Drosophila melanogaster: one gene and its partners. The protein of the gene in region 1 interacts with the protein of each later gene in a pairwise test. Each region holds a gene or a part of one and is shown in the gene's direction. Other genes may lie near its edges. The genes, in order: Tsp42Eb, Naa20A and CG14252.

Evidence for each region.
Region 2: the proteins of Tsp42Eb (region 1) and Naa20A interact in a two-hybrid assay, tested with the Drosophila melanogaster proteins (one large-scale study listed by BioGRID).
Region 3: the proteins of Tsp42Eb (region 1) and CG14252 interact in a two-hybrid assay, tested with the Drosophila melanogaster proteins (one large-scale study listed by BioGRID).

The regions. Positions count from the first base shown.
Region 1 is NT_033778.4:6,992,576-7,002,884, forward strand, and holds Tsp42Eb (tetraspanin 42Eb), read left to right. Parts: upstream 1-6,272; 5' UTR 6,273-6,354; coding exon 6,355-6,606; intron 6,607-6,670; coding exon 6,671-6,835; intron 6,836-6,907; coding exon 6,908-7,159; 3' UTR 7,160-7,273; downstream 7,274-10,309. Other genes in the region: CG30159 (uncharacterized protein), read left to right, coding at 553-1,272; Tsp42Ea (tetraspanin 42Ea), read left to right, coding at 1,850-1,909.
Region 2 is NC_004354.4:19,617,357-19,628,271, reverse strand, and holds Naa20A (N(alpha)-acetyltransferase 20 A), read left to right. Parts: upstream 1-5,197; 5' UTR 5,198-5,306; coding exon 5,307-5,359; intron 5,360-5,427; coding exon 5,428-5,543; intron 5,544-5,605; coding exon 5,606-5,735; intron 5,736-5,800; coding exon 5,801-5,937; intron 5,938-6,007; coding exon 6,008-6,069; coding exon of another isoform or gene 6,070-6,099; exon of another isoform or gene 6,100-6,504; intron 6,505-6,607; exon of another isoform or gene 6,608-6,621; coding exon 6,622-6,666; 3' UTR 6,667-6,821; downstream 6,822-10,915. Other genes in the region: e(y)3 (enhancer of yellow 3), read left to right, coding at 1-173; CG14212 (uncharacterized protein), read right to left, coding at 1,746-2,534; MKP-4 (MAPK phosphatase 4), read right to left, coding at 3,641-3,744, 3,810-4,492, 4,558-4,657, 4,724-4,855, 4,918-5,062; CG14221 (uncharacterized protein), read left to right, coding at 7,154-7,244, 7,315-7,418, 7,489-7,560, 7,639-8,278, 8,347-8,797, 8,881-9,088, 9,149-9,343; Tim9b (translocase of inner membrane 9b), read left to right, coding at 9,847-9,867, 9,927-10,022, 10,085-10,321; Pstk (phosphoseryl tRNA kinase), read left to right, coding at 10,484-10,915.
Region 3 is NT_033777.3:26,940,892-26,951,765, forward strand, and holds CG14252 (uncharacterized protein), read left to right. Parts: upstream 1-4,642; 5' UTR 4,643-4,688; coding exon 4,689-4,689; intron 4,690-4,874; coding exon 4,875-5,073; intron 5,074-5,127; coding exon 5,128-5,264; intron 5,265-5,325; coding exon 5,326-5,379; intron 5,380-5,439; coding exon 5,440-5,755; intron 5,756-5,809; coding exon 5,810-6,320; 3' UTR 6,321-6,357; downstream 6,358-10,874. Other genes in the region: CG46339 (uncharacterized protein), read left to right, coding at 571-942, 1,002-2,432, 2,495-2,618, 2,681-2,871, 2,936-3,103, 3,166-3,309, 3,377-3,632; Spag1 axonemal dynein assembly factor, read left to right, coding at 7,025-7,297, 7,358-7,776, 7,833-7,960, 8,020-8,147, 8,201-8,662; CG6330 (uncharacterized protein), read right to left, coding at 9,534-9,677, 9,747-10,118, 10,181-10,528.

The DNA.
Region 1 (10,309 bases):
GGGAGGGGGTGACGAAACAAACCAAAACAAAACGAATTATGCTCGTGTGAGTGTGCGCGACGCAACAGGTTGAGGCTGCTTGGCGCAGCTTTTGACCGATCAGTTTAGTTCAGTTAGCATTGTCAACTGCTCACGAACGGTTCGAAAAGCGGAGCGCGCGTAAAATCATTCTGTAAATCATTCAAAAGGCGGAAAACTCAAGGTGTGTGTGTGGGTTTTGTTTTCAAATTCCGTGTGCTTGTGTGTGTGAGAGAGGGCGAGAGCGACAGTGTCGTAGCAGGCAGTGTTGTAAGGTGCCGAAACAGCGATCCCAACCGGCACACTAGTTGTCCTGCTCGCACTCCAGTGAGGCAAATGTCAAAGTCTGGTCAGTAGCAAAACAGAATTGCAGCCAAGAAAAGCGGAATCAGCGACAAAATTAGCCATTAGTTGGGTTTTACATATAGATTAGGCCAGCGAAACGACATAACGCTCCAAGTGGTAAAGTGAGACCTGCCAGTGGCGGCACCCAACCCGAAAAAGCCTAACCAGCGACCACTTTCCAGTTATCCAATGGAGGCGGCCAAGGATTTTGCGGTGGCCAAGTACCAGGACTTATGTAACTTCCTGGAGCGGGATACGCGCGGCAGTGAGCTGGCCATCTATGGCACCTCGGCCATCATGCTGGCCGTGGCCTATGCCAAACGGAAGCCGGCCTACCTGGTGCGCCAGTTTAAGCAGCCCTCGCACATCCCGGAGCGCCTGATCAACGAGCGCGTCATGCACACGGGCAAGATCGCCGGGGTCAAGCAGCAGGAGCAGGACACCCTGCTGATGATCCAGCACCGGCCGCTTTTCCCGATCTTCACTAGCAGCAAACGCCTGCTGCCCGTCAAACTGCCGGGCGTGCGCGTCAATGCCAACGGCTACTCCTGGCTGCAGCAGTGTCTCATTGGGCGCGAGGCCACCTTTCTGCCCCTTAAATCCGCCAAGGGACAGGACTTTGTTGTCTGCCAGCTGTGCCTGGTCCATCCGCCGAGGGGCAACCGCCTGCTGGACGTCTCGGAGACCCTGCTCAAGCTCCGCTTCGCCCGATTCGTGCAGGATGCCGCCGCCGCGGTTAAGAAGAACGGGAAGTACTACCAGCATCTGAAGAAGGTGGAGCAGACCACAGCGGAAAAGGAGGCCTGGCTCTCCTGGGCCGCCGGCTATCCCTACATCTGGCGCCGCTACAACGAACTGAGGCAGCGCTGGTTGCCCAAGGAGAAGCTGCTGCCGGAGCTAGTGCGCTGATTGCGATCTCCCCGTTCCTGCCTCGATGCTATTTACAGGGCTACCTAGCTCGCCACCATTAACTTAGTTCCATGGCCAGCTACTCTCTATATTTTTATTATGCCTGTTTACTAGCTTGTGCATTTGTGTCTTAGTGTTGCTTGCTATCTATTGTTATACGATTGGCAAATATCATATACGATATAAGACAGCATTTGTTTACAAACCCTCGAGCACAAGTACACAAGTCAGTCTCAAAAGCTTATTAGTAAGGGGAATAGCTAGCGCGACTTGCCCAACGCGACTTTCGATGCCCAGGCGGTACGTGATCGTGTGCTAATTTCCACACCCAGTAGAGCCAAGAACGTCAGCATTTTTTAAATATTCAAATAAGCGAAATGTTTTTACCACGGATGACATCAGTGCGTGTGCCTGTGTGTGTACGTGTGCGTGTTTCCCAAATAAAATGCCGAAATACCTAACTTTTCACGCTTGTATCTGAATTTCTTAATTCCATTCCATTTTTTTCGTCTCCCGAACGATCAGTTGCAGTTCTTCATCCATCTCCACCAGCAATCTCTGGCAAAACTCAGGCAAAATGAGCTGCGGAATCTCCATGGTTAAATATATCCTATTTATATTTAATTTGCTCTGTTCGGTGAGTAGCATAGATACATTTAAGATTACATAATTTCGAGCGGCCAAGCTTAGATCGACTTCTCAGCCTTTTAGGCTGGCAGTGAGATCATAACTTTCGTGCGGAATAAACTGGTTTTCCCAAAATTGGTGTTTTCAGTATTGAAAGGCTGAGAAAGTCGAGGCCCACAAAAGTGGTGAGCATGAGTACATTTTAAAGCCACAGAAGGCACTCTCGTTAAATGCATTTTTGTATTTTTGTGTTCTTTAGGTCGGCTTTCATATTTACATATCATGAAATTAAACATATCTCAATTAATGTTTATTAAGGACCCTTAAAGTAGGATCTATTATAGCATTTATGGTGTCTCTTTTCCGGTCAGCACTATCACTTTCCGGTTACGAAACGCACTGTACGTGCAAAGTGGGGGCAGAGCTTGAGATCATCATCAGTATTCCAAAACCAGTTATTAAAATTGGGCTACGTTTGTGACGTAGCGGTATCCGAAAAATTCTGTATAATTTTGTGTACACTACGTACACTTTTGTTTACTTTGGAGTCCCAAAACCAGTTTGTGTTGTTTCGGTCCCCACAACCGAGCCCCACATCCACAAACATGCATCCCATTAGTCGGAGTCAGTCCGAGGTTAACTGGTTCCAAATGGCAACCAAACAATCATTGAAACGCCAGCAACGGTGGCATTTCGATATGGTTTTGCAACTTCTAACTCACTGCCCCAAAGTCACTGCACCGCCAGGTGGAACTGTACTTCGTCCAACCAGTTTGGGGCTGGGACCCTGACTTGCTGCTGGTGGGAAATCTGACTGCGTCGGAGTACCAGCGCATTATTCGCGTCACGCAAACATGGATGTCATTCACTACGGGCGGAAAAACATCAGCACACGGCGCTAATTCTTCAATCGTATGCAGTATACGGATATAGAAAATTTACAAAACAAAACCATTTTTTGTTGATGGGAAATCGGTAAACGAGATGGATGACCTATCTACTTGAAATAGGTCATTTGATTTGTTCAAGAGTTCCAATCCGCAGTTCTCCAACCTTTTTGATAATTTAAAGTAGCTGCAATTAACTTAAGAACCAACATGGAAACATACAAATATTTTGTCTGTGTGTAAAGTCTGCCGCCACTTCAGTGGAAAGTTGTGTAATGGTTCAAGAGGGGGGGGGGGGGGGGGAAGGGGGTCTCACCCAAAAATAGTTGACTTAATTTAATGTGAACTTGCTCCCATTGTGAGACGACGAGCCAAAACTCGGAAACAACGAAATATCATCTACACACGCACATCATGGAATGGAAACACGGGGGTCGTTGGCGGTACACTTGAACTCAATTTTCCGAGGGAGGGCGATCTAGAAATGCCAGACGAATGCGAGTGGGTGGACTGGTTATTATTATAATTGTGGACCAGTGTCGAAATGTCGCTCTCTTCTGATCGGATGCGATGCTAACTATTCTGATCCCACGAACCGCTGAGCTCGGCGGCTGAGTCATGCTGCAGTTTGGCGCAATCCTACGAATTTATGAACTATAGTTTGGCTGGGGGTGGATCTAATCTAATGACTACGTCAACTGATACAATCAAAGCCAAAGTAAATATGTTTTTAATAGTTATCGTCGATGGCCAGGCGCTTTTATGCATAATCTTAATTAACGAAGCGAATCGGATTGATAAGAGATAAGCTTGTGATAGCCATGCAAATAGCCAATCTGAAACTCTATAAACGAAAATCGCCGAAGAACTGGGCAATAATAGAAAGTAGTTTTAATAATAAAGCAGGTGATTTCGCCATATCGCAAATATTGAAATGCATGTCCCTGGAAGTAGTTCCAGTTTCTCGCAGTGCATATTATTTGTCGAACAACAGGCATGAGCTTTTAACGCCTACAAGCTTTTTAATGAAACAAAAAAGCTAATGATATCCCAGCCAGCATTTATATGGATGAATATTCTTCAGGCGATTTGGTATCGCAAATCTTGTCAAATCATTTGATCAAATTAAATCATAAATAACTTAGAACTGTATTAATTTATTACATGATTAGTAAGTCCAATATAAAACGGATATGAAGTGATTGTTTTTGACCAATTTCTGTCAAAATCTGAGGGCTTGAGAATTCAAGTTTAGTTAGATTAGACAACCCTGGTTGGCTCAGGATTGATAAACTCAACATTTCCCTTCCTCAGATATGCGGCATATTGCTGATCGTATTCGGAGCTCTGCTGTTCAGCAAAGTCCGTAACATGGATGACTTCGCGGAAGCCCTGCGAACCCAGCAGGTGCCCGTAACGATGATCATCCTGGGCACCATCATCCTGCTGATTTCCTGGTTCGGCTGCTGCGGAGCCATTCGGGAATCCTACTGCATGTCCATGACGGTAGAGTACTGATCCTGCATCGTGCCATTCATCTTGCAATTCAAAATGTATTCTTTGTGGCAGTACTCGATCTTGCTGTTCGTCCTGATGATTGGCCAACTGGCTTTGGTGATCTACATGTGGGTGCAGAAGGACAAGTACCTGGAGATCATGGGCGACGTGGTCGAGAAGGCCTGGAACCATCGCACCAGTCGTTCCGACTACATGGACGCGATTCAGATCAGCGTAAGTATTTAGGGACTTCCAAGGACATGTGACCCGCCTTCAACTGACTTTCTGCCGCTCCCGCAGATGAAATGCTGCGGACGCAGTGGCTACACCGACTACGCCTACCAGGGCAAGTTCCCTCCCTCCTGCTGCAGCGACACCAACAACTGCCGCTGGGAGACCGTCTACCGGCGGGGATGCAAGGTCACCTTCGTTGAGTTCTGGGACAGGAACAGCGACATCATCAAGTATGCCGGTCTGGTCATCGCCGCCATCGAAGTAAGTTATTGTCCAGAGTAACGCAATCGAACGAAATCGATCATCGAATCTAGGTGCTTCCCCATGTGAATTTCGAAAATATGATGGATGGGTTCATGTTACCTACCTTCCATTGTGATTTCTTGGGGATAACCAAAAAGTACTAAGTAATGTAAATCATAATTCGTAGCAATGCAGTTTAGTTTGTTATTTTACCATAAGCGTTATGAGATTTACACCTACATGTATATTCTTCCAATATACCATACTCTGTTTGCTTTCAGTTTGTGGGATTCGTTTTCGCCTGTTGCTTGGCGAACAGCATTCGGAACTATAGACGCCGTGCGGAATATTAATCGACAAAGGACTAAGGCCTTGCACTAATTTTAATTGAAACCGAAAGTACGAATTATGTTGCCCAATTTTACGAATATTTACCTGATACAGATGGCCATTCAAATTTGCATAATCTCAAGCGTAAGCAGCAAATGCAGCAAATCCAATGACGAATGCGTAACGATCACTTTTGTAAGATCGTTTGTTCAAAGTTACACTGAATGTGCTAATATGTTTAACTGTACAAAATAACTTATACTCCTGGAGATTGCAATAAACGGAGAAATTTATTTACAATTTACGAAAAGAGTTCAGTCTTTGTCTTAATGGGAAAGCTTACATTGTTTGCAATTCGACTTAATCCCTAAAGCACCTATTTTTCTAAATTGCCACGGGAGGATTTCGGCCATTCGCGATAACGTTTTAATCTGCAAAGTAATAAGTATAAATAGAGTTGGCCGAAACCAACAAGTACACTTTGATTACAGATCATTATCAATCATTGGCTCTATTGACATATTTCCGTAGAACTAACCTATCAGAAGACTATATTTAGTTAGTTAGCTTTTTAGGGCTCAGACGAAATCTTATCTCCATTGAGCTATTTTATCTATGAAGGGCACATAGCCGTTTTGTGAATGTCAATGGGAAATTATTCCGCCGTGGAAACCCCAATAGTTGCCAAAATCTTGTTGAAGTTAGGCTGGGAGTGCACTCGCTAAAAGGTTTATTGCTCGATTGATAGTACATAAATCTAGGCGATAAGATCGGGGACTCACGGGGAAACGGACTCCAAGCAACGTAATATGTGAGTCAGCGTGCACCGCGTACTCTTGACTGGTGATAAGGCAAGGTGTGGAGGGTGTGAATGATTCATCTTATGAACGATCTAACGCCCCCAAGATGGAATCGCACGAGGGCTAGATAAAATTCCGCCACCAGCAGTTTGCACCTACCATTCGTTGAATGAATCATTGCGCCAAGGATGTAATTTCCCAGGTTCGGACCACCACAATGATCTGGTATCTCGTGGGTGCAAAGCGATTCACCAAGTACAAGTACATGGGCATCGGAGCTTCCAGCACAAGTACATACGGAATTTTATGGCCGAGATAAGAGCGCAGCCGATAAGATGAGGACTCCGAGTAAGCTTTAATAGCCGCGTTCTGTCCGAGGGCCCATTCAGTTAGACGAACATCGTCACATCGAACGAACGGATTATCCAGCTAGCCAACGAGAAACCCGAACAGAACCCAGCACCATGAACTGTCTATCCGCGATGTTCAAGTACCTGCTGTACTTGCTCAACCTGGTGTTCGTGGCCGGTGGCATCCTGCTCATTGTGGTGGGCTCCATCATGCTCTCCACGATGGGCAACTTTACGGCCTTCGACGGAGGCGTTAACACCCAGACCATCCCGATCTGCATTATCGTCATCGGAAGTGTCACCTTCGTAGTGGCCTTCTTCGGATGCTGCGGCACCATTCGCGAGAACGCCTGCTGCACCACCATCGTAAGCACTCGGAAATCACCCACTGACCGAAATTGGATTCTAAATGACTTGGCATTCCTTTCAGTACGCCATCTGCATGCTGATTCTGTTCGGCCTGCAACTGGCCCTCTCCATCTGGATCTTCGCGGCCAACGACAAGTTCCTGTCCAGCATGGGCAAGGCAGTGGACAAGGCGTGGGATGAGAACAATGCCGCCCAGGGATACCCCATGGATGCCCTCCAGTTGGCCGTAAGTTTATCGAAATTCACCATCAGATGTCATTAGTTTTTTCCGGATATTTACGTATCTATTCCATTGCAGTTCTCTTGCTGTGGCAACACGGGATACCAACAGTATGAAACCGTGCCCAGCTCCTGCTGCGGCTACAAGGATCGCACCAAGGTGTGCGAAGCGGAGATCTACAGCCAGCGACCTGGCTGCCGGCAGGAGTTCGTCGATTTCTGGGCCTCCAATACGGACCTGATTCGATGGAGCAGTCTGATCATCGCCCTCTTCGAGCTGGGCATCTTCATCATGTCGTGCTGCCTGGCCAGCGCGATGAGGAAGCGCTAGAGCCGAAGTCAGATACAATCCTTAGACGTAGCCCAGTTCATAGCATAAATCCAACACACGAATTCCTCACTCACTCACTCACCGTAAATAAACCAGAATAGGTTAAGCCCAATGAAATATTATTGCTTATTCGCTGTCTACCTCTGGCTGCCGTCTATCTAATCAAGACAGGTTGATGTTTTTCCAAAAAGTATGTCCTTATCGGCCTGTTAGCCGAGTGCCGCGTTTCCGAGATCGAATGCCCTCAGTAGTGGTGAATCACCTCCATATGGCAATGGCTATCGATCTCCGCCCGCCGCCCAGTGCCCATTATCTATTTTTCGTTTCGGCCATGATTATGATAACAGGCACTTGCGTATCTTTCCTCCGATAGCGCCCGTGTCTGTTGGCCAATTTAAAAACAGTAGCCCATCTGGAGGAGCAGTCCAATCGAACGACAGTAAACGACGCGAGTGCGCGATAAAATCAGAGACACCGACAACTCCTTTGGATAAAACAATAGTGTTTATTTAATTCTACTAAATACAGGAGCAAACTATATACTTTCAAAATGGGTTGTCTATCGGGAATAGTCAACTTTATTTTATATATTGTCAATATCGTGTTTTTGGTAAGTGCTTGTCGGTTGAGTATCTAAGTAAAAGGAATTAATAATGTAATGAGACGTGTAACAATAGACCAAACACTACTGGGTGCAGATCCCAAATAGGTTCCAATTATGGATAACTTCATACTCTCCAATTACTTGTGTTATAATGAACTTCCAAAAAATGTCCATTAATTATGTTAATTTATTTATCAAACTGTAGATGTTTATTTATTTGCATATAAGACCTTCTAGCTGACTTCTGTCATTCATTAATCAAGTCATATGCAATAAATATTTGTGCAACAAATATCGAACATGTATTATTTAAAACAAGTGAAATGAAATTTGAAAATCCATAAATTACGCATCGGTCGCTTCCTTTCGATTGTCTTTGAGTCACAAGGTTTAACACTATTATTCATATAAATGTGCTGGCATAGATAATAATATCTATCTGTAATGCAAGTGTGGACGGACATACAGAATTTTATCAGTTGATTGACATTATCAGTGTTTTGTAATATAAGTAATGAGCCCAAAATGAGCTTCAAAGGGGGCACACATGCACACAAGTTCACATTTTAGCAAGGCTAAGTTGGAGTGAATAAAAGATCATTTAGAGAATAAACTAAGGAAATACAACAAACTATTATTTACAAATGATTTATTATTTATCCAAATAAATGTGTAGTTACTCGCAGTATTAACGCAGCTAAAAGATACATTTTTCACCTTAAGAATTATGCCAAAAACAAGATAAAGGTGATTAACGTTTGTTTTTTTTATCAGCTACGTTTTTAAACTAGCCATATCCGTCTGATTGTGAATTTCATTAATTTGTATGCAAGTATAAGACTTGATTATTCACTTTGTTAATCACTTTGTCAACTTAAAGAATCAAATGAAGAAATTTAAGTAAATCTTGGTCACCGACATCCTGAAGGCTATTTTAAAAGCTCATATCTTAGTCCAGTTTGCGGACAAGTTTTCAGTACATAGATATTCCCGGATAATTAGAAGTCCATAAAACATTCATTATAATGTGGTATGCTTATGACCATAAAACTGTTAGGCAACCAGAGATGCCTTCTAGTAATACTCCGAATACTTCCAGATCGTTGGCATCCTACTGATCGTGTTGGGCTCGATCATGCTGTCCGATCTGAGCCGCTTCGATGTCGCGGGGAGTGGAACTGTACTTCGTCCAACCAGTTTGGGGCTGGGACCCTGACTTGCTGCTGGTGGGAAATCTGACTGCGTCGGAGTACCAGCGCATTATTCGCGTCACGCAAACATGGATGTCATTCACTACGGGCGGAAAAACATCAGCACACGGCGCTAATTCTTCAATCGTATGCAGTATACGGATATAGAAAATTTACAAAACAAAACCATTTTTTGTTGATGGGAAATCGGTAAACGAGATGGATGACCTATCTACTTGAAATAGGTCATTTGATTTGTTCAAGAGTTCCAATCCGCAGTTCTCCAACCTTTTTGATAATTTAAAGTAGCTGCAATTAACTTAAGAACCAACATGGAAACATACAAATATTTTGTCTGTGTGTAAAGTCTGCCGCCACTTCAGTGGAAAGTTGTGTAATGGTTCAAGAGGGGGGGGGGGGGGGGGAAGGGGGTCTCACCCAAAAATAGTTGACTTAATTTAATGTGAACTTGCTCCCATTGTGAGACGACGAGCCAAAACTCGGAAACAACGAAATATCATCTACACACGCACATCATGGAATGGAAACACGGGGGTCGTTGGCGGTACACTTGAACTCAATTTTCCGAGGGAGGGCGATCTAGAAATGCCAGACGAATGCGAGTGGGTGGACTGGTTATTATTATAATTGTGGACCAGTGTCGAAATGTCGCTCTCTTCTGATCGGATGCGATGCTAACTATTCTGATCCCACGAACCGCTGAGCTCGGCGGCTGAGTCATGCTGCAGTTTGGCGCAATCCTACGAATTTATGAACTATAGTTTGGCTGGGGGTGGATCTAATCTAATGACTACGTCAACTGATACAATCAAAGCCAAAGTAAATATGTTTTTAATAGTTATCGTCGATGGCCAGGCGCTTTTATGCATAATCTTAATTAACGAAGCGAATCGGATTGATAAGAGATAAGCTTGTGATAGCCATGCAAATAGCCAATCTGAAACTCTATAAACGAAAATCGCCGAAGAACTGGGCAATAATAGAAAGTAGTTTTAATAATAAAGCAGGTGATTTCGCCATATCGCAAATATTGAAATGCATGTCCCTGGAAGTAGTTCCAGTTTCTCGCAGTGCATATTATTTGTCGAACAACAGGCATGAGCTTTTAACGCCTACAAGCTTTTTAATGAAACAAAAAAGCTAATGATATCCCAGCCAGCATTTATATGGATGAATATTCTTCAGGCGATTTGGTATCGCAAATCTTGTCAAATCATTTGATCAAATTAAATCATAAATAACTTAGAACTGTATTAATTTATTACATGATTAGTAAGTCCAATATAAAACGGATATGAAGTGATTGTTTTTGACCAATTTCTGTCAAAATCTGAG
Region 2 (10,915 bases), on another chromosome or scaffold:
ATGCTGTCAATATTACAACGATGCAGTGCAGCAGCAGCAGCAGCAGCAACTTCAGCGGGAACGGAGTCACCGAGGACGCGGCGAATGTCACTGCAACGGGAACGGCTACGGCGGCCGCAGGAGCACCCGCTGCCACTCCAATAGGCATAGCTCCGCCGCCCGTTGTTGCCTGAGTGGGGGTCATACGTTATTGTGCCAAGCGTACTCTAACGGACTTATAGTAAGCGCCGGACGCGCCGCCCCTTTTACCAAGCCGCCTCCAAAGTGGTCGTAACCACAGAGCACAGCCGCCATCCCAAAAAAAGAAAATAAGAAAAAAAAAACCACACACAGATGCATAGTATTAATGAATGCGACAAGGGGAAGAGAATGGATTAAGAGTGGAGAGAGTATTTAAGGTTTTTTTTTTACTACGATTATTCTTTATTTGTCAGTACTGCATTGTATTGATTGTGTTTTATACATATATACATATAAATATTCCTATTATAGTTATGTTACTTAACTTTGCTAATGTTAACAACCAAACGACCGCATAAACACACACAAACACACACACACACATGACACGCACCCCGAACACCAAGTAGACCACGTTATGCTTAAGACTTTTTTAACGCCTAAGTTGAATAGCCTAGCACTAAGTCACAACTTCATTTGTTTCTAGTGAATTCATTTGACGCATTTTAGTTCAATTGCGCGCAATCGCCCACGCAAAAACAGATTTGTACACTTGCGTTTTTAACCGAGGAAAGAGTGCTGTCTGTCCAGCTGTCCAGCTGTCCTGGCCGTGCGGCTTTGTTCGTTTGTATTCCCGTGTCCTTGGAGGCTTGGTCCACCCGCTGGGTTGGGTCTTGTCCACGTCTGTAGGTAGGGCTAGCTGTTTCGTGTTACCGTTTGCTTTTGAATCGAAATAGTGTCTATTTCTATTTCTCAGCCAAGTCTAAGTCTAAGCCGCCACCGTGCGCACTGTGCATCTGTATTTTCTATAGACATTATATTTGATTTTAAACGTCTTATGCGCCGAATTTTTGAACATGTATGTATATGTGTGTATTTATAAGAACCACGCCCTCTAGCCCATGTAAGTAGTTAAGCACAGCCTAAGTAGTGTCTTCATGTGCGGTAGCTGCTTGTCCTTTTTTTTTTCGATTCGTTTAGTTTAGATTCGGTAGATTCGTAAGCGGGGTAGGGACTTGGCTCGGCGGTGGATCGAGGATCGGGGAGCCGGGTGCCGCTCTGCAATCGTATGGCTAAGAATGTATTATAAATGTAATTTATGCTAACACATAACCCAACAACAAACGGACCCACACACCACACACACACACAAACAAACATATATATTTATATATACATATATATATATATATATATATATATAGATATACTAGCTGTAGCTATAAGATTAAAGCACAAGAACAGATACAGATGTGGCTAGCGAGGATTAGGTAGGAGGAAGTGGAAGTGTGGAAGAACCATGTGTGAAATATTGTTAGGCAACAGTTCTAATACCGCCGCAGGATAGGTAGCTCTAAGTTTTCGATCTACTTAAGACAGAGTGGATCCACAGACGGGCCCAGCTGCAAACCTCGGCTGGAGAGAGCTGGGTAATCCACTTTATGCGAAAAGTAAATCTTAAGTCCTTCATATTAAGTGGAATTATTCTTATGTATACATACTGAAAGATTTATTTTTAAGTCGAATAAAACAGCAGCATTAATAACCTGGCCTTACCACAAACTCTACGCCACGATTTTGGGCATCAGGAGCTCCTCCAGCTCGTGGCCGTCGCGCCATGTGAGCACGGAGCAGGCCAGTTCCTGGCCATGGGCGGTCATCTTACCGTGCAGCTCGAATCCGCGCCGGATGCAGGCGACATCCTTTTGCCGCAGCCGCTTAATGGCGCACAGATCGTTGCAACTATCGCCCACATAGATCAAGCGCTCGTATCGCCCGCTGCACGTCAGCTCGTCCATCACGGAGCCCTTGCACATGTTGGAGGGGCAGAGATCGCAGTCAGTCTGCTCTTGGTAGGGCAGCACCAGCAGTTCGCCGCTCGCTTGGACGCATGCGGGATTGGTGAACACGCCGCCGGCAAAGAGGCACTCAATGGCGTACGCCTGCAGCCACTCGCCGATGAAGAAGGAGTTGGCGTCGCTGACGATGCACAGTTCGAGCTCAGGGATCCTGGCTAATTGGCGCATCACCCGCAGCATTCCAGGCACGGCTGTGAGACTGCGCACACGCTTGCCCACCGACGCGGAGTTCACCTTGTGCTCGCCATGCAGGCGCTGCAACACTTGGCTTATGAAGCTCAGCCAGCCGCACTTGGGGATCTGGTCCTGCAGCTCCTTGCGCTGACTGGTCGGCAGTAGTTGGCTCACCGCCAAATAGGAGTCCTGCTCAACGATGGTCCTGTCGAAGTCGATGGCGACTAGGGTGCGCGGTCCAGGCGAACTGGATGCGCTCAGACCGCGTCCGAAGGGCGAAAGGCAACGGCTCAACCGGAGGCTTCTCGAAATTGCAAACATTTTGGTGTGGAAAACAAACAATTTGACTTTAATATCAATGCACACACTCGTTTAAACAGTACAGTAGATATGGGTGAACAAAGCACATCAATATCGATAAGGTAGCGCCAATATCCGAAGGTGCACGAAGTCCCATGGAAGCTGGGGGGGATCTTCGTTCCATCGACCATGCGACCGACGTGTCCGTTTGGCCGACAATGTTGTAATTATAATATAATGTGTGTATTATATGTATGTATATCGCATAAGTTTTAGATATTGTCATTGAAAAATGTTGTTTCGTTTTCCGTTGCATAAAATATTTTCCAAAAAGGTTTAAATATCTAAAATACATTCATAGTTTGTGTGTGTGTGTGTGTGTTGGTAACATGCAAAAAGCTATGCAAATGCATATGGAACAGCAAAGATCAATATACATACTTGTATGGCTTCCAACAAATATGGGTGCACTATATCGCACGTACATAAGTAAGTGTATAATTTAGCTACATGGGCGAATTCATTGGCTAACTATATAAAATGAAACAATATACCATATACCACTACTGGAAACAATCAACGTATCTCTTTCAGCTTTTGGGGATTCACATATCAATGTTGCGATCGGATGAGATACTCTGTGATTATTTCTTATTCTTAAGAATTGAGTAAATATTTACTGACTGACCAAATGGAATCCGAAGTTAGTTTGTGATTAAATTACGTTTGCTTCGCGCGGAAGTTTTGATATTGTAAACCTGGCAATCAGTTTATATCCGATACGAGATCGGATTCCCAAGAGGGAACTAACTAAGCTAACTGCTTGCGTTTCAAAAATCTCAGCTTGGTGGAGGAGCTATTCAGCAATGGGACCAATTAACTTATGTTTCAACAGCGTAACCGAAGCCCAACTTCTCCAATGACCCATAGAAACATAACTTAATGCCCATATATGTATATATGTAGGACATCAATGTTGGCCAGCACTGATAAGCACTGATCAATCAATCCAAGCCTCCATTGCTTTTTGTTTAGGTGGGCGATTGCCGTTCTTTGCCAGCCGACAAGGGAGTCCAATTGTCCCGTCTCTGATGATGCCATCTCGCTCTATTTCCAGCACGCTGCACCTAAACCGTGGTCTGCACGTTCTGCACGGCCTTCGAGAGCTCCACCTTGGAAGGTATCAGATAAAATGCAGGCGTCATCGTCTCCCCGCACGGACACTTGCAGGCTGCAATAAATTAGGAGGAATGAGTGGGGGGCGGGATTATCGGCTGGTGGAGCAGCATAGCCAACCGTTGATCCAGCTAAAGTTTCCCAATTTCTGCTCGCACTTGGGACAGTACAGGCGGCCCTGGGTGTTCAGCATGATGCGGTGCATCCAGGCGATGGGCTCCACAAACAGTATGCTGCGGCAATAGTTTGGCGTGCTTTCGTGGCCGGGTGAACCGAGTGATGACTGGCGGATGCGCTCGGACAGCTGCTCCAGCATGCGAGCACCATGATGATTTTCGGCCTGATCATGTGACTGAGCCGGCAGCTTAGCTGCAGCGACTTCTTCTTTCTCCTTGGGTACCACCTCCTGCGGCGGCCTGTCACGCGGCTTGTGCTCCAGTACATGCGACTTGGAGGCGAGGACGCGGCGGCAACGACGACAGCGGAACACTATGGGCTCCGGGTTCTCGCGCGTTATATCTGGATCCGGACGGACCACGCTGTGGAAGCTTTGCGGCAGGATCTTGGCCTTGCGCATCTGCTCGCCAGCCAGGCGCAGGCGATGGATCTTGTAGCGCTGGCAGTTGGGGTCAATCTTGCAGCCCATGCGCCGGAAGAGCTTTAGTTGGCTGACAAAGCCAGCGTTTGGCTGGACGAAGCGCCGTTTGGCCTTGACCAGCTCGTAGGCGGGCAGGAAGTCCAGATTGTGTCGCTTCATCATGTAAGCGATCACAGTGGATGAGCTGCGACTGACGCCGAAGTAGCTGTTGGAAGGCACAAAGAGTCAGTGGCCAAATCGTGGGCCGGTCAGCCTAGGTAAGATGCTCACCAGTGCACAAGGACATTGCCCTGCTGGGCCAGGGCCGAGCTGATAAAGTCAACGCAGCCCTCCAGATGCTGCAGAATATCTTCGCGCGGCATGTCGGCAACTGAAACAGGGATTAACGCCAGTGAAGTTGTTGCACATTCACGAAGCTACCGATCTGTGTGCTTACTCTGTATATATTTGGTGGTCAGAAAGCTGGCCTCCAGAATGTGCTGCGGCAGCGGGACCGAATCCAGCGTGAGGATGTGGGTGATCTTGAAGGAGCGCAGCGTCTCCATGTGCGTCGCCGCGGTCAGGTTGCCTGGTGGTGTAAGGAAGGGTTGAGAAATGCATCGATCACAAGGATTAGAGCTATATGCTTACCTAGAAACAGGCCTGTGTCCACCTCGTCGATGCTGACCGGTCCGCCGTCGAAGTCCTCGCGCGTCAGCACCCCGGAGTCCTGGGCCTTGCCACCCCCCGCGGAGGACGAAGGCCACGCCTGCCGTTGAGACTGAGACTGTTCCATGGCCAGGCAACAGATACCAGCTGGAGGCAGAGGAAGAAGAAGAGCGAGGACAGGACCTAGCGTGGAAATGGAAGTGCTAGTAGTGTGACCGCGGCTGCATTGCGCGGTAACCGATTTGTGGGAAAGCTCGCTTCCAGGCTATCGATAACTTGCCATCGACCGCGGCGCATCTCTATTGCCGGCGAGTATAGCAATTTTATAGGAGCAATAAAAAGGATCGGATTAGCCGAGATTAAGTGATAAGATGACCACGTTGCGACCCTTCACCTGCGACGACCTCTTTAAGTTCAACAATGTGTGAGTACAGTGGATATCCACATGCGCATATCCGAGGCTAATACCAATACCGCCGTGTGCTCCGCCAGAAACTTTGACCCACTTACGGAGACCTACGGGCTGTCCTTCTACACCCAGTACCTGGCCAAGTGGCCGGAGTACTTTCAGCTTGCGGAGTCGCCCAGCGGACAAATAATGGGCTACAGTAAGTACTGCATTTCACTGTGTGCACGAGTTCCCCTATCAAGTGTGCTCTACATTCTCTAGTCATGGGCAAGGTGGAGGGACACCTGGACAACTGGCACGGACACGTGACTGCGCTGACCGTCTCGCCCGACTACCGGCGCCTTGGTCTGGCTGCGCTGCTCATGAGTTTCCTGGAGGACATTTCGGAGAAGTAATTCCAGCCCCAATTCGTTGGATATCAATACAGACTAAACGACTACTTTTTCTCGCCCCCAGAAAGCGAGCATACTTTGTGGATCTTTTTGTGAGGAAGAGCAACCAGGTGGCAATAAACATGTACACGAACCTTGGCTACATCATATACCGCACCATACTTGAGTACTACTCCGGCGACCAGGACGAGGATGCGTACGGTGAGAGCGCACAGAATTTGCATTGACTTCTAAGAGGCGCCTAACAATCGATGCTTTACCCACTTTGCAGACATGAGAAAGGCCTTATCCAGGGACGTCAACAAAAAGTCGGTCATACCGTACACGCAGCCTGTACGACTGGAACATATAGATATGAATTGATACGATATCAACCCAGTAGCGCCCGAAAACGCATTTATGTCTAACTAATCCCGATCCACCATTTGAAATGGGCGCGAGCGCATCACTTCGCAGCCCATTGAATTCTAGTTAATTTAGCAATGTAAATAACCCATAATCCCGTGATCTGCCCGGTGATAACATGCGATTCGATTATGACCGGATTCCCATCCCGCTTGCGAACCAATCCCCCGGCGCCAGTATTTGCGTGCATTATTTCCCAACCGAAACTAAGCCTGTAATTAAGTTACATGACCGCTCCGTTACCAAATTCAGCACAAATTCTCGATAATTCTATTGACTTTGAAATTATTTAAAGATTTCGTAAGCCGATGCGTAAATAACCACAAACACAAAGATTGTTCCACAGTTCTGAAGGTAAATAACGTAAGCAACTTGATTACTTCATCATCGTAAATGACAACCAGTATCTAACGCCAACGCTATGACCACCCATCTAGCCCGCACACGATCCTCTGACCATATCCAGTTTTTTTTTTGCAGATCACAATGCGCGAGCTGCGCAGACAAATGCGACACGATCACTAAGTGGAACGATTCGCGGCGGATGTGGGCATAGCCACAGCCATCGCCATCGCCATCGCCATGTGCTTTATCGACCGATTCCCATTTACTAATGTGCTGCTGCATAGAAAACCATTTTGAGAATAAAAAGAAAATAAACCCCCTGGCATATAAAGTTCAATCTGTATTTGATTGATTGATTGGAGGAAAGCTGACTTTCAACACACCTTATAATAATGTCCTTGTGGTGATGTCCTTTTTTTTAGTGCTAGCAGAAGGATAGAAAAGTTTTCGGGTTTATAATAAATACCCTGTATTATATGGGTAGCTTCCTAGCTCGACTCAGCAGCTCCTGCGCATTTGTTACCCCATTTGGGAACTGGGATTGTTGATTGATTGATTGTGCCAAAATACTGAGTGACCTTTTAAGTCCTGGCAACCACTGTTTGATCAATAGCTGGTTGGGTGTTTAGTTCGGTATCTGATTGATGGCCCATTCAGTGCGCAAAAAATGGCGAAGAAGGGAGGAGTCCAGCAGCTTCAGGCCGACCTCGCCTCGGATGAGGAGTTCGAGAAGTTCCTGCAGCGATCCGGATTGCTGGGTACGTTCTCGATGCGATGGTTAGCCATTAGTCCACCCAGTAATCTCGCTCTAATCCCTGAGTGCTTCAGTGCTCGATATATACTCCGAATGGTGCGGTCCCTGCCTCGGCATGGTGGGTAGCCTGCGGAAGATCAAGCTCGAGCTAGGAGGCGACAACCTGCAGTTGGCCATCGTAAGATCACACAGTCGGAAGCACCGAGGCGTAGCGCACTAACATCCCCATCTTTTCCAATATATGCCAGTGCAAGGCGGGCTCCATATCCTATCTGAAGCGATTCAACAAGAAGAGCGAGCCCACGTGGATGTTTGTCACGGTGAGTGATCCCATGGGAACATAATGCCAGGTGAATATGTATTGTCTTTCCTCTATGTTTATGTTTATGGACCATTAGAGCGGCAAGGCCATCAATATCATGTTCGGCACGGATGTGCCCAAGCTGGTGGCCATGATCACCCGAATGCTGCAGTCGACGATGGCCAAGGAAACGCACCTGAGCTACGAGATCACCGAGCTCCAGCCGATCGAGCTGGAGCAGCTGGAGGTGCGCAACAAGGCGCTGCGCCTGGCCGAGGAGATCGAGCTGGCGGAGAGCCGTCGGAAGCGGCTGGAGTACCTTCACAGCGTCACCGACTGCATCATGGCCAACCTGCCGGACATCGGGATCACGGTCTTCGGGCCACAGGTTAATCGCGACATGTTCAAGAAACTCTCGGAGCCGGCTGATCCGCTCAAGATTCAGTGCAAGGACCGCAAGGTATTTACCATTCTGCCTAGCGACATCGCCACCGTCAACTTTGCTGCGGAGAATCCACTGTCACCGGAGGTTATCGAGCAGCTCTACGACAAGGAGCTGCTGATGTGCTTCTGGAAGGTGGACGAGGTGCTCGGCACGCCACCGACCGTGCTCCGCCAATATGCCCACGAGCTGACCAAGGAGACCATTAAGCCGCCGGACGAGTTCAACGAGGAGGAGATCACCGTGCCGCCCATGATTGTGCCGCTGGAGGTGACCGTGGAGATATCTGATCCAGGTGAGACGCCTGTCATCCTTGCTAACTTGATCTATTCACGAGTTTTACTCTATTTACTCTCTGGTTAGAGCCATCAACGGAGAATAGTCAGGTGCAGCCGGACGCAGTGCATCTGGCCGAGATTAGGAGCGAAAATGTAGCGGAGGCTGAGGAAGAGACGGAGACAGAGGCGGAGGCAGGTGCGGCACCAGAGGCCAAAACTGCTCCGGTTGCAGCTAAGAGAACCAAGACTATTCGGATACCGCCGATTTGGGTGCCCAGTGACCAGCGCACCCATGCAGCGCTAATCTACACGTACTTCCGTGCCCAGACCACGACCTTCCTTCCGCCGGATCCCGTGCCGGAGCCACCGCACATCGTGATGATCTTCGACGCCTACAAGAAGAAGGATCTCGCTATTCTGCTCGAGACGTGTCGCGAGGACATTCCGCTCTATGGCTTCTTTAACGGTGACAATCCGCTGACGGCGCAATTTATAGCAAACTCCGTGGAGAAGTACAATGCCAAGCCGTATGTTCCGTAAGTGCTGCCAACGATCCACTGGCCAACGGCTGATGAGTTACATATGTAATATCTGTCTGATCTTGTGCTGTACCTTGCAGTACCGACAAGATTGTACTGAAGGTGAACAAGGTGAACAGTCCGACCATTCCCACGCTGATGGCCTACGGTCCCAGCTACGTTAGCGCCAACTCGGTGGTGGGCCACCAGGAGGCCACACAGTTCTTTCCCGCCAACTACAAGTCTGCGCTGCAGGAGGAGGAGGAACTGCACGCCGTCAAGACGGAGAAGCCCAAGAAGCGCAAGAAGGTAAGGCCGTCGCTGATTTGGGGAGAACATTCCAGCTCACTTCCGTTGATTCCGTTGCAGAATAAAAAGGGCGGCGATCCCGAGGAGAGCGGCAAGGCGGACGCCGGACCGGCGGATGCGCAGATGGAGGCGGAAGAAGCGGTGAAGACCTCGCCGGAGGAAGGCGCCTCCACCACGAGCAGTGGCGAGGACAGCTGCGAGAGTCGTCCTGCCACAGCGGATGGCGCCAATCCCGACGCTTCGCAGGCCACATAGATGCCCTAGTTCCATTCAAAAGTACTGCTCCATTCCGAAATATTATGATTATAATACTATAATATTAAATTACCCTTGACGGCAATCTTTTAAAAATTATACAGCAAATTAATGAATATTGCATATACCGTGTAAATTTTTCAATTTAAACGTAAGCTTTTATCAGAATCAATTATAATTTTAAAATCAATTATTAGGGATTGCGGTATCGTATATTATGAACCAATTCGCGTCCTATTTTACTTTCTGCCCCCCTGGGGAGATGAACACTTTAGTTGCTCTCAAATAAAAAGTAAAAACGAACACAATGCGAAAAATTTGGGTATCTGTATTTTAAACTCGATAACGCACACTGATTAGTCTGCTTGCCGTGCTATCGACTATCGTTTTACCAAGCACAGACTAATCAGCTGTTCCGCTCGTCACGAACGTGACGGTTTGTAAAATTAAATTGTATAATTGTTGTATTAAAACACTAGCTAAACGCAACTTGCTATCGACCGATGGATTCCAATCTGCGCAACGTAAGTAAAAGAGTGTGCTGAACTCCCGCTGAACCTTACTCACTGGCCACGCCTTTCAGCTCAAAGACTTTTTCACATTATACAACAAAGTGACGGAACTGTGTTTCAGCCGATGCGTGGATAATCTCAGCCAGCGCGACCTGGGCGGCCATGAGGTATGTATAAGGCTGGGGAATCCACGGAGGTATTCGTCACTAAATGCCGCTTCACACGACAGGACCTCTGTGTGGACAGGTGCGTTACCAAGTTCGCGCGCTTCAACCAGAATATGATGAAAGTTTACGTGGATGTGCAGACCACAATCAACGCCAAGCGCATGGAGGAAATGGAGGAGAACGCCCGCAAGGCCGAGCAGCAGCAGAGGGAGCAAGAGAAGGAGCGACTGAAAGAGGCGGCCGCCACGGCAGTACTTACACCTGTCCAGCCGCCTGTCGCCGGCAATCTGTCCATGTAGCAGCAGTGGCATGCAACGCCGCAGCTGCTGTTCTCGATCCTAGATAGCTAATCGCAGAGTCCAGACCGCCCTCCACACCCGCAGTCGGCGACCACACGTACTCTTCCTACAAACAACCCCAAAACAAAAAAAAAAAAAAAACGAACCAACCAACCACACGCGATGCGGCGCATTTGTCTTGTTGCACTTATCGGCCTGCCAGCAGCCGGCAAATCCTCGCTGTGCTCCTGGCTGCTGGGTCAACAGGCTGCCCTCCGCGTCCGCCACATCGTTCATCTGTGCTACGACGACTTCCTCGACGCTACCCCCTCGGCCGACCTGGCCTACAAGGAGCAGCGCGGCCGCATTTTTAAAGTAATTGAAAAACTCATTTCCGCCATTCAAGAAGACACCGATTGGCCGCCTCAAGTCCGCCGCATTTCCTCCAGCGGCGACTACAACAGCGGAAGGCATCTGATCCTGTGCGACGATAACTTCTATTACCGCAGCATGCGCTACAAGCTCTACCAGCTGTGTCGAGACTCTGGCTGCATCTTCGGACAGATATACATGGCCAGTTCGCTGGACTCCTGTCTGCAGGCAAACTCACTTAGG
Region 3 (10,874 bases), on another chromosome or scaffold:
GGGTTAGTCAACTTTTTGAAGATACTTTATGTATTTAAAATAATTTCGAGAAATGACAATTATTGTTACGTCGTCTTCTGAAGTATGTTTTATTGCAAATCACTGTACTTAAATACCACTTACATTAGGTTCTTCAAACGAACTTGATCAATAATTGACGATAGGTGTGTTAAATATAGAAAAGTTAAGCAACCATAGAGCATTGCATATTTGTGGTAGCCAGCTAGCCAATTATTGCGCTTCTTGTTTGCTTTGATTTGATCGCCGATGCGGCTTTTGATGGCATGCATTTCATTTGCCGCCATTCCGAACTAATGGCGGCGTCCGAAGTTCGAGGCAGACTGCAATGCCCCCGAATGGCGACGGATGGGTGCCAAACATATGTTTGTTTGTGGTCGGTCCCCTCTAATTTGCCCTCTTGGCTGGCGATTGATTGATTGGCACTTTTGATGGCAGCGACCTGGCGTTTTTGGCCAACATTTGCATTTCACCTGCAAATGCAGAGCATTTCCCTATTTGAATCTATTTATATGATACCTTCTCAACTATATGATACTCCTCCTCTTGCAGCCTTTTGATTGAGCCAAGTGTGGCAACATCTATCAGCAACGGCAGCCTGACCATCGAGATCGAACGGGATGTGTCCAAGGTGACCAGCTGGGAGCCCATCGTGCTCGACGTGCACAACGTGAGCATCTCCAATGTCCGGGTGATCCGTGCCCTTGCAGATGGCGCCAGCAATGCCAGCGAGGAGCAAGACTTGGATTTCGACAGCGACTACGGGGAGGATAATGCCACGTTCGTGATCAATTTGAGCAAGACTTTGGCGGTGGAGACCCAGCTGAGAGTGCTGCTAAGTCTGGATTTCGTCAGCCAGGTAACGGATACACTGCAGGGCATCTACAAGACCAGCTACACCAATCCGGACACCAAGAATGAAGAGTAAGTCCAGAACCACATGTCCACGAAAGTTCCCCTTCTAAAGTTCCCCTTACTTTTAGATGGATGATAAGCACTCAGTTCTCGCCCGTCGATGCCCGTCGCGCCTTTCCCTGCTTCGATCGTCCGGACATGAAAGCCAACTTCTCGATCAGCATCGTCAGACCCATGCAGTTCAAGATGGCCCTTTCCAACATGCCCAAGTCGGGCAGCCGTCGCTTCCGCCGTGGTTTCATAAGAGACGATTTCGAGACCACGCCGAAGATGCCCACTTACCTGGTGGCTTTCATCGTGTCCAACATGGTGGATTCGCGGCTTGCCAGTCAGGACAGTGGGTTGACGCCGCGAGTGGAGATCTGGACGCGACCCCAGTTTGTGGGTATGACTCACTATGCGTACAAGATGGTGCGAAAATTCTTGCCCTACTACGAGGACTTCTTCGGTATCAAGAATAAGCTGCCCAAAATTGATTTGGTGTCCGTGCCGGACTTTGGATTCGCTGCCATGGAAAACTGGGGACTCATAACGTTCCGCGATTCGGCGCTACTGGTGCCCGAGGATCTGCAGCTGGCGTCCTCATCGGAACATATGCAGGTGGTGGCCGGAATCATTGCACACGAGTTGGCCCATCAGTGGTTCGGCAATCTAGTGACCCCGAAGTGGTGGGATGATCTCTGGCTGAAGGAAGGCTTCGCCTGCTACATGAGCTACAAGGCACTGGAGCACGCCCATCCGGAGTTCCAGAGCATGGACACTCTGACCATGCTGGAGTTCAAGGAGTCGATGGAGCACGATGCGGACAACACCTCGCATGCCATATCCTTTGATGTGCGCTCCACCAACGATGTCAGGCGGATTTTCGATCCCATCAGCTACTCAAAGGGCACCATTCTGCTGCGCATGCTCAATTCGATCGTGGGTGATGTGGCCTTCCGGTCGGCCACTCGTGATCTTCTAAAGAAGTTCGCCTATGGAAACATGGACAGAGATGATCTGTGGGCCATGCTCACGCGCCATGGTCACGAACAGGGTACTCTGCCCAAGGATCTGAGTGTCAAGCAGATCATGGACTCGTGGATCACCCAGCCCGGTTATCCGGTAGTCAATGTGGAGCGCCGTGGTGCTGATCTCGTGCTGCGCCAGGAACGCTATCTGCTGCCCTCCAAGAACACTGCGGATCAGAGCACCTGGTTTATACCCATCACCTTCGAGACGGATGAGTTGCGCAAGGGCGACAACATACCCACCCACTGGATGAGAAGCGAGGACGAAGAGGAGCTCATCGTGGGCAATGTCTTCGCGCATAGCAGCAACAGCGATAACGTGATCTATCTGAATCTCAACCGGCAGGGTTACTATCGTGTCAACTACGATATGACCTCTTGGCTGGCGCTCAAGAAGAACTTTAGCACATTGCCCAGGATCACAAGGGCCCAGTTGCTGGATGATGCACTGCATCTGTCGCAAGCGGAATACCTTACCTACGACATACCGTAAGTTTGAGAAGTAAGACAAGTAAATGAAATTATTAACATAAAAATACGTTTGCCTTTAGATTGACCTTCCTCATGGAGCTGTTCGATGCTGTGGATGATGAGCTGCTGTGGATTGCCGCCAAACCTGGTCTCAACTATCTGATCTACAACCTGAAGAGGGAGCCTGCCTATGAGACTTTCAGGGTAGGGAATCCAGTAAAACTAGTAAATTTTAGAGTGTTTTATAATATATTTTGTTTAACCAGGCCTTCATGAAATTCATCGTACGTCCCGCCTTTGATCATTATGGCCTGCATGAGCCGGACAATGAGTCCCACTTGCAACTGAAGCACCGCGCCTTGGTGGCCTACTTTGCCTGCAAGTTCAACTACGATCGCTGCACCCAAAAGGCGCAGATGAAGTTCCGCGAGTGGATGCGTGATCCCAAAAACAATCCGTAAGCTTGTAACTGAAATACAATACAAAAACTTATTAAAAACGATGCAATCATAAATCAACAGCATTAAGCCAAACCTCAAGTCTGTGATCTACTGCACCTCCTTGGCGGAGGGCTCGTCACCGGAATGGTATTTCGCCTACAAACAGTACAAGACAACCACGAGTGCTTCCGAGAAGGAGGAGATACTGACCTCACTGGGCTGCACCACCAAACCCTGGCTGCTGTCCAAGTGAGTAACTACAACAGTTTGATCCATCAAAGACCAAAGACTGATGTGCAACAACTTTGTAGGTACCTCAACATGACCATCAATCCAACATCGGGCATACTAAAACAGGATGGCGCCTTGGCCTTCCGTGCTGTGGCCTCCAATGCCATTGGTCATGAGATAGCCTTTGATTTTCTGCAGGGCAACATAAAGGAGATTGTCGAATAGTAAGTGATACTTTGTGTGATAGGTTGAATGTATATATTAATTTAGTTATGTTCAATTGCACCATAGCTATGGCGATGGCTTCTCCACGCTGTCCGAGATGATCAAATCGCTGACCATCTACATGAACAAGGACTACCATAAGCACCAGCTTCTGGACTTGGCCGCTACCTGCCGCAAACTGGGACTCCATGCCGTGGAATCGGCCATCGAGTTGGCGCTGGAGCAGGTGAACAACAACATCTATTGGCGCAGCCACTCGTACCACAGCCTGAAGAACTTCCTTGAGGGGATCGTCAGCGAGTTCCAGATCAATATCTTTTAGGAGAACACATGGAAGTTGGAAATGGGGGAGAACTCAAATTGATTTCAACCAAAAAATGCGATTTAGTTATTGTAACTATTACCATTATTTGTATTCGTGCAAAGGCCTCAAATTAATTTAATCAAACGAATTATTTGCGAAAAGTGATATAAACGTGTAAGTTAGCCAGCATAATTTAGGTAAACGATTTACTTTTTGCAATTGTATATTTATTTATTTGTAAGTCTCGCTTCTTTTGCTTTGCGGCATTGCTCTGCAACGTTCCTACTAAAAAATAGAAAGCAATCGGAAAATGCATAGTTCGAATAACTCCCATTCATCACTTCAGGCAACAGTTTAAGTCCACAACACAATATCTGCCACGAAATATCTAAAGTTTAAAACCTGTATTATCTATATCTATATCTATACTTATGATTGTCAAGTACTTTGTGTTGTTCGCACACCTTTAGATCCTAAGTGAATCAATCTAGCACTAAGTGAACCAAAAATCTATTTTGTAGTCGATCCAATCAAGGGACTTAATGGTCCTGGAAGGAAACTGAGCATGGGAAGATAATGAAACTGAGTGTCCTTAGTACATGGTTTAAATTGTTTGCTAAAGCAAGAGTAGTACACAACACACAACACACAAGTAATATATTTATTCATGTACGCGTGTAACTATTATGTATTTTGTAAAGCCCAACACAAAAATACTTGTATTGCTGCTGCACAACCATGTAAATAAGTTTTAAAGCTTACACTAAACACTTAAATAAACTATGTATTTACGTAATTTTATTCAAAACTCTTCTTTAATTACTGCTTATAAACTTTGATTTATTTTGGGAGTTTTGAATTTGGCGGTTAAGAAGAAATTAAATCAACTGCTTATGCGGCCCTGAAATTCAGTATTTTCAACAGAATGGTCACACTTTATAAATATATGAATAAATTGCACTTGATGGCAACCCTAAACATTGGTTTTCAAGAATTTTCTGGGTTTCATAAAACGGTCTTACTATCAACTAAATTTTTGTAAACAAATATTAACACAGCTTGTATATTTGAAAAAGTAAGTATATAACGAAATTAGCAACAAAATAAGACAAATTAGGTTACCTAATAAATAGCAGACCTCATCTTTGACTTTTGTGGTATCAATCAGTCGAATACTTTGGTGTTTTCCTGACACCCGAGATACTAGGCTTTGTTTTGAAATCCCTAGTTCAAACTCAAACTTTATGCAATTTCATCTAGTGAGCAGAAGGAAATGGGACGCTTCCGAAGAGGACAGATTCATCGACATCTGGATCCACAACTTGCATCTGTTTGAGCCTGGCAAGAAACTGACAGAAACCTATGCGGAACTGGAGCCCTATTTTCGAGATGTTGGCGTAGAGATCAATGTTCAAGGCATAAAGTCGAAAATGGAATCCCTGAAGCGGAAGTATTTCAAGTCAGTACACAACTTTCAGATGAAGAATCGGTTTGATAATCTCTGGGATTTCAGTTTGTTACACTCCGACCAGGAAGACCAAGCTATCACCTGGAGGCACTTCGATGCGATGGCTTTGGTGGTGAGAGCATCTGCCAACGAGGGGAAGGATTCGGAATGGAAGGACTATACGCAGCCATCAAAGACGCCTCGTAAGAGTCCATTGAATTCCAACAAGGAAAATGTATCTAATCAAAGACTTCGAAATTTCAGATAAAACGCGCTCTTCTGTTTATATGAACAATCCCGCACAACGTATCAAATATGGTTCGAAATTCATAAAAGTTTAAATTGTATACATTCTAAGCGGTTTTCATTTCTTTATAGAGACACCATTCAAAACCGTCTTCGTGGATGAAAGTGCTGTGAACTATTTTGACGATGAGGAAATGCCCAACGCCAAAAGAGTTAGGAAAAGATTCGGCAAAACCAGCAATGTCAGAGTAAAGGCGCGAAGAGTTTGGCAGCCGGCGGAGGAATGCATATTCGTTGATGTGTGGGAAAAGTTCGCCAGTCACATACAGAGTGATAGGAAAAAAATGGATGTCTACAAGGATATGCATAATGAACTGCAGCTGCGTGGTGTTGGCATATTACCGGGCGATATCAAATCCAAAATTGAATCACTTATGCGCACGTTTAGGTAAGAACTTTATAAGCTTATTATGCTGTTATAATACATTACCAATAATTGCAGAGCACAGCGAGATTCGGTGGGAGATAAGTCCGAGTGGATTCATTATTCGAAGATTTTAAAGATCCAGACTCCTATTGATTTCACCAAGCTGGATGTATTTTCCGAGCACAGTAGCAGCTACGAAGACGATGCGTCCTGGTTCAAAGAATTGGAGCCGAAACCGGATCCCGATCCTATCAGCCATCCACCGAGCTCTAGCGATTCCGTTGTCAATCAGTTTGACAATAAAACTCAGCCGAGCTCTCCCGCGTGCAGTGAAGACTGTTTTTGGTCTGATACTGAACCTAGCCACTGCAAGGTGTCTATTGAAGTGTTGGACCAAGATGAATCGACAAAGCCGTTCGAATCTCCCTCCATTGAAAAGCATAAGGCTGCTGAAGAATTTAGTCAATTTGTAACAAAAGAGCTAGCCGTCTTGAATGATGATTTGCTAATCGAAGCAAAACGCCAAATATACAATATCATATGTGTCTTGCAGAAGAAACAGAATGAAGTAAATAAAAAAGCATAGTGACCAATTAAACGTATCTTTTTTCGTACTTGAAATTAAAAAAAAAATCAAAGGTTCTACCGAGATTTGAACTCGGATCGCTGGATTCAAAGTCCAGAGTGCTAACCATTACACCATAGAACCGCGTTGGCAGCCTGGCGCAAAACAAAACATTTACTGCCGCCAGATAACACGAAACAATTATCCTATTTTGGACACTAAAATTTTAAATAAACATTTATCCGTGATATTTATTTTTAAAGAAAAGTTTCTAAGCATCAAATCTTTATATGAAAAAAAAAAATAAAAATTAATTCGAGCAGGTTCTACCGAGATTTGAACTCGGATCGCTGGATTCAAAGTCCAGAGTGCTAACCATTACACCATAGAACCTTGATACGAGCCACGCTGCTAAATGACACTTTTGTGCTGCGGGCACACTTATCTTTGGTTCTTTGGTGTGTCAAGAAGGGGGTTGAAGATAAGGAAACGATAGTTGATTCAAAATAGAGTGTTTTAATTTGGTTCAATACGTTCAGTTAAGTATTTAGAACATTTTTAAAACAAGCTAAACCTTAAACTTACATTGGCATTTTAAGGGTATCGAATGAGCACAGATGTTTGTTGCCAAGCAAGCCGGTAAAAGTTTGTTTGATCGATATACACAATATTGAATTAAAACATCGAGCTGCTCCTTTATTTATTTGATATTGTAAAGCCGAAAAATGGAAAAGGAAAAAAAGAAATCTCTTTTGGAAAGATACAACATACCAATTCACTATTTGGACTTCGCCCACGTGGAAAAGTGCACAAATGCTCGCGAAATGGAGAAAATCGTCCAAATCCTGCGCTCCGGCGAGGAAGGACATTATCCGGACTTGCAACGCTGTGCGGAGGAAAAACTGAAGGCACTGAAACCGGATAGCAAGCTATTTCGCTATGAGGAACAGATAAAGCAAAGCACTGACCTGGACAAAACCGAACTAAAGCCCATTCTGGTAGGTTGTCTACTTCATTTCAAATAAATATTTATGGATTAACCTGTATTTATACCTTAGGATTGGACTGACGCCATAAAAACAAAGGACAATGCTCTCAATGAGCTGAAGAAAGTTAAGCAGAATTTGAATCTTCCATCTGTGCGTAAACTTTCGAAAATCGATTTGGAGAAGGAAAGTAAAACTGAAAAACCCAAGCCAGCGCCAAAGGCTACATCTCCGTCCAATACCAAGAATAAGGAGGCTCGAATCAAATCCACCGATTACAGAAAATGGGATAAGTACGATCCCGATGAGGAGATACTGCGCATGGATTTGAACGAGGAACGCGACCAGGAGCAAAGAGAGAAAATCATTTCCAATCACAGTAAATCGGTTACCACGGATAAGCTACAGAGCGAAAGAGATTCTCTATATGAACGCCTCCAAGCACAGCTAAAGAACCTAAGCCAGCTGGAGAAGGAGCAATTTGCTGAAAGGTAGATATATCTTAATGCTTTATTATATGTTTTATATATTTTTGTTGTTGTTAAAGACATCGACTGCGTGGCAATGAGAGCTTCAAGGCAAAGGAATATGAAAATGCCATTGAGGAGTACAACTGTTCAATAATATACGATCCGGAGAATGCAGTACACGCTTACAATAATCGCGCTGTCGCTCGTAAGTAATCATATTAATAATAAAACTCTTTATCAATTTATTGTTCGATTCATTCGCAGATCTCAAGTTGAAGAAATACTTTTCGGCCATATCGGACTGCCAAGCCTGTCTGCAGATCGATCCAATGAATATTAAGGCACACCTTCGAATGGCTGAGGCCCACAATGCCGAAGGAAAACATCTTGAGGTAATAATTTTGAATACTTTCATCTTTTTGAAGGCTAAACCTTTCCGTTTCAGTCCCTAAATGTTTACAAAAAGCTCCTCGACTTTGAGCCAGATAATGCCATTGCCAAGAAGGCCGTCGAGAAGCTAACTTCAATGCTGGGTGAGGTGGCTCCGTCCTCTGCCACACGTTTGATAATTGAGGAGATCGATCCTCCGCAACTGAAGACTTCCGAACCCAAGAAGGAGGCTGAGAAAAGTGAACCAACTGTGGTCAAGAAACCCGAACCAGTTGTCTCGGCAAAGAAGCCACCACCCATTAAAGACTACGATCTAGCCGAGTTGGTCAAGCCGAATCGCATGGTGAAAAGTAACTTGGTGTCAGCCGCAGAAGCCTTGGGAAATAAGATGCAGGCCAGCAAGGGAGGTGCACCTAAGAAGCCACAAAGTCCTCCTATGACACCAAAGGAAACCTTACTGCGTTTGCCACAGGACAACCTTAACAATAGCAATAAACTTCTTATACAGGAAATTTAGAGAACTGCATACAGTGTCTGCAGCGTGATGTTTTTACGATTGTTTAAAAATATATACATATGTAATGCAAATAAATAATGGAAAAATAACTGTTTTGGTATGATCTTTTAGCCACCAAAAAATGAAATCGCGTTAAGTGGTTTGTATAATTTAATTACAATTTCTTTTAATATACCGTTGAAATATTTGTCATAAATTTCGTTTTTTTACAATATAACTTGTATATTTGGTTTTATCGTGTGCTATCCGTAATTGTATTGATGTTATTTTCAGCATTTTGTTCTTCATCGTATTGTTTTCATTTAATTTGGATATAACTAGACAGAGAAAGATTAAGTGCTGTTGGATTTGGTTTAGAGTCGAGTGTACGGTAGCAACACTAATCAACACGTACATTTAACAAATCTTTAGGAATTTCAATACATTATAATATAATAATTTATAAAATGGAAATGTAGCATTTAGTTTTGTTTGGTATTGTTGAATCTTTGCTTAATAGATTAGCCCCATTTAAAATATGCAACATAACAATTAACAATTTCATAATTCTTCTATATTATTCGTTATTTGTTTTGTGATCTCAAAAGCGTTTATTTCTGATAACCTTTGAACGTCACACTCAGTGATACTATTTTTATATATTATTGATATACATATATATATTAAATTGTGGTAACATATGAACATATGCACGTACAATATGATCGGTTTTAAATTATCCGATGAGGTTGTGGGCGATATACACAGAAATAAAGCTAGGAACTTAATCAGAGCTAAACTAGGGAATGTTGAAACATCATTGTATACTGGAGAGATGCGCACATATAATGTAAGAAGGTGAAATGAGATGGAACTGGTCACATGATCCCATTTACTCGTGGGCCTGAGACTCCTGCTGGACGAGCTTGAAGCGCCGGGGTGACTTGATGGATCCCTGGTGTCCGAATAGCGCCTTCAGCTGTCCATTGTGCGTAAGGACCTTGCGAATATAGCGCGACACGAGGATCTGCGGACGCTGTTTGGGTGAAAAATCATATGTTCAATTACATTCCATTGAGAGGGGGAGTTAGTCGGGATCACCCACCGCTTGCCACTCGTTCATGACCTCCTTGGGCGCGTTGACCTGATCCCCATTGAGGCGGTTCAGCAGGGCGACACACACCACCGCTGCCTTGATGCCGGCATGGTGGGTCAGGGCCGCAAAGATGGTGCTCTCCATCTCGATGTTGACCACGCCGTTCTCGCGCAGCTTCTCCAGATAGGCCATCTTCTCGTTCTCGCTGAAATCACAGAATGCGCCGTCCAAACGACCCTGGCCCTCGTAGAAATCGTTGGTGCACAGCGTCTTGCCAATAATGGTATCGTACGGATCATCGGGACTGGCCAGGGACTTTAGCTCACGGGCCAGCTTTTTGTCCAGCTTGGCAGGACGATGGATGGTCTTGCCGAGAATGGTCTGCAAATCAAGTGTTTAGGGTCATCTATCGCATTTGAGGTGATATTTCAGCCACGACTTACAAACTCATGGGAGTTCCTCAGCTGCCCATCGAGGGCATCTTCGGTGATGATGACGGTGCCGCCGTCGACGCCAATTCCTCCGCACGTTCCTATCCTGATGAAGACGGGATCCTTGCACTTGGCGTGGTACATCAGCTTGATCATCTCATGCATCAGGATGCTGACCGAGGGCGTACCCATGCCATGGCTGACGCACAGCACCGGTCCCACTTTGTACATGGAGTAGCGATACGAATAGGCGCTGATGTCCTGCAGCTGGGTGCCCGCTGGCAACTTGTAGCCAATCTCGTTCATTATGAAATGGGCAAAATTCTCCATGCGCTTTGGTGTGCCGCCCATGCAAACGAACTGAAAGTCAAAGACAGACACGGATTAATTGAGTGAGCTTTTAGAAGGGGAATAACCGGCATTGTGTTTCAGATTTGTAAATTACTAATACCGCTGGTATTGCAATCTATGACTATATAATTATTTATATAAAACATACCCTTAATTGTAAATCGCAAATCGAACCAGTACTAGATTAGCACATTGATATATTTATTAAGTTTATGAATCTGACTAAGCATATAATTAGCTTAATTGGCAACAGCTAATGAACTCGTTTCGCTTGTGCCCCACTTGATTTGATAACAATCAAGGTCTAGGTCTGGGTCTAGTCTTTAACCGCCTCAGACTATGAATAATTCAAGAG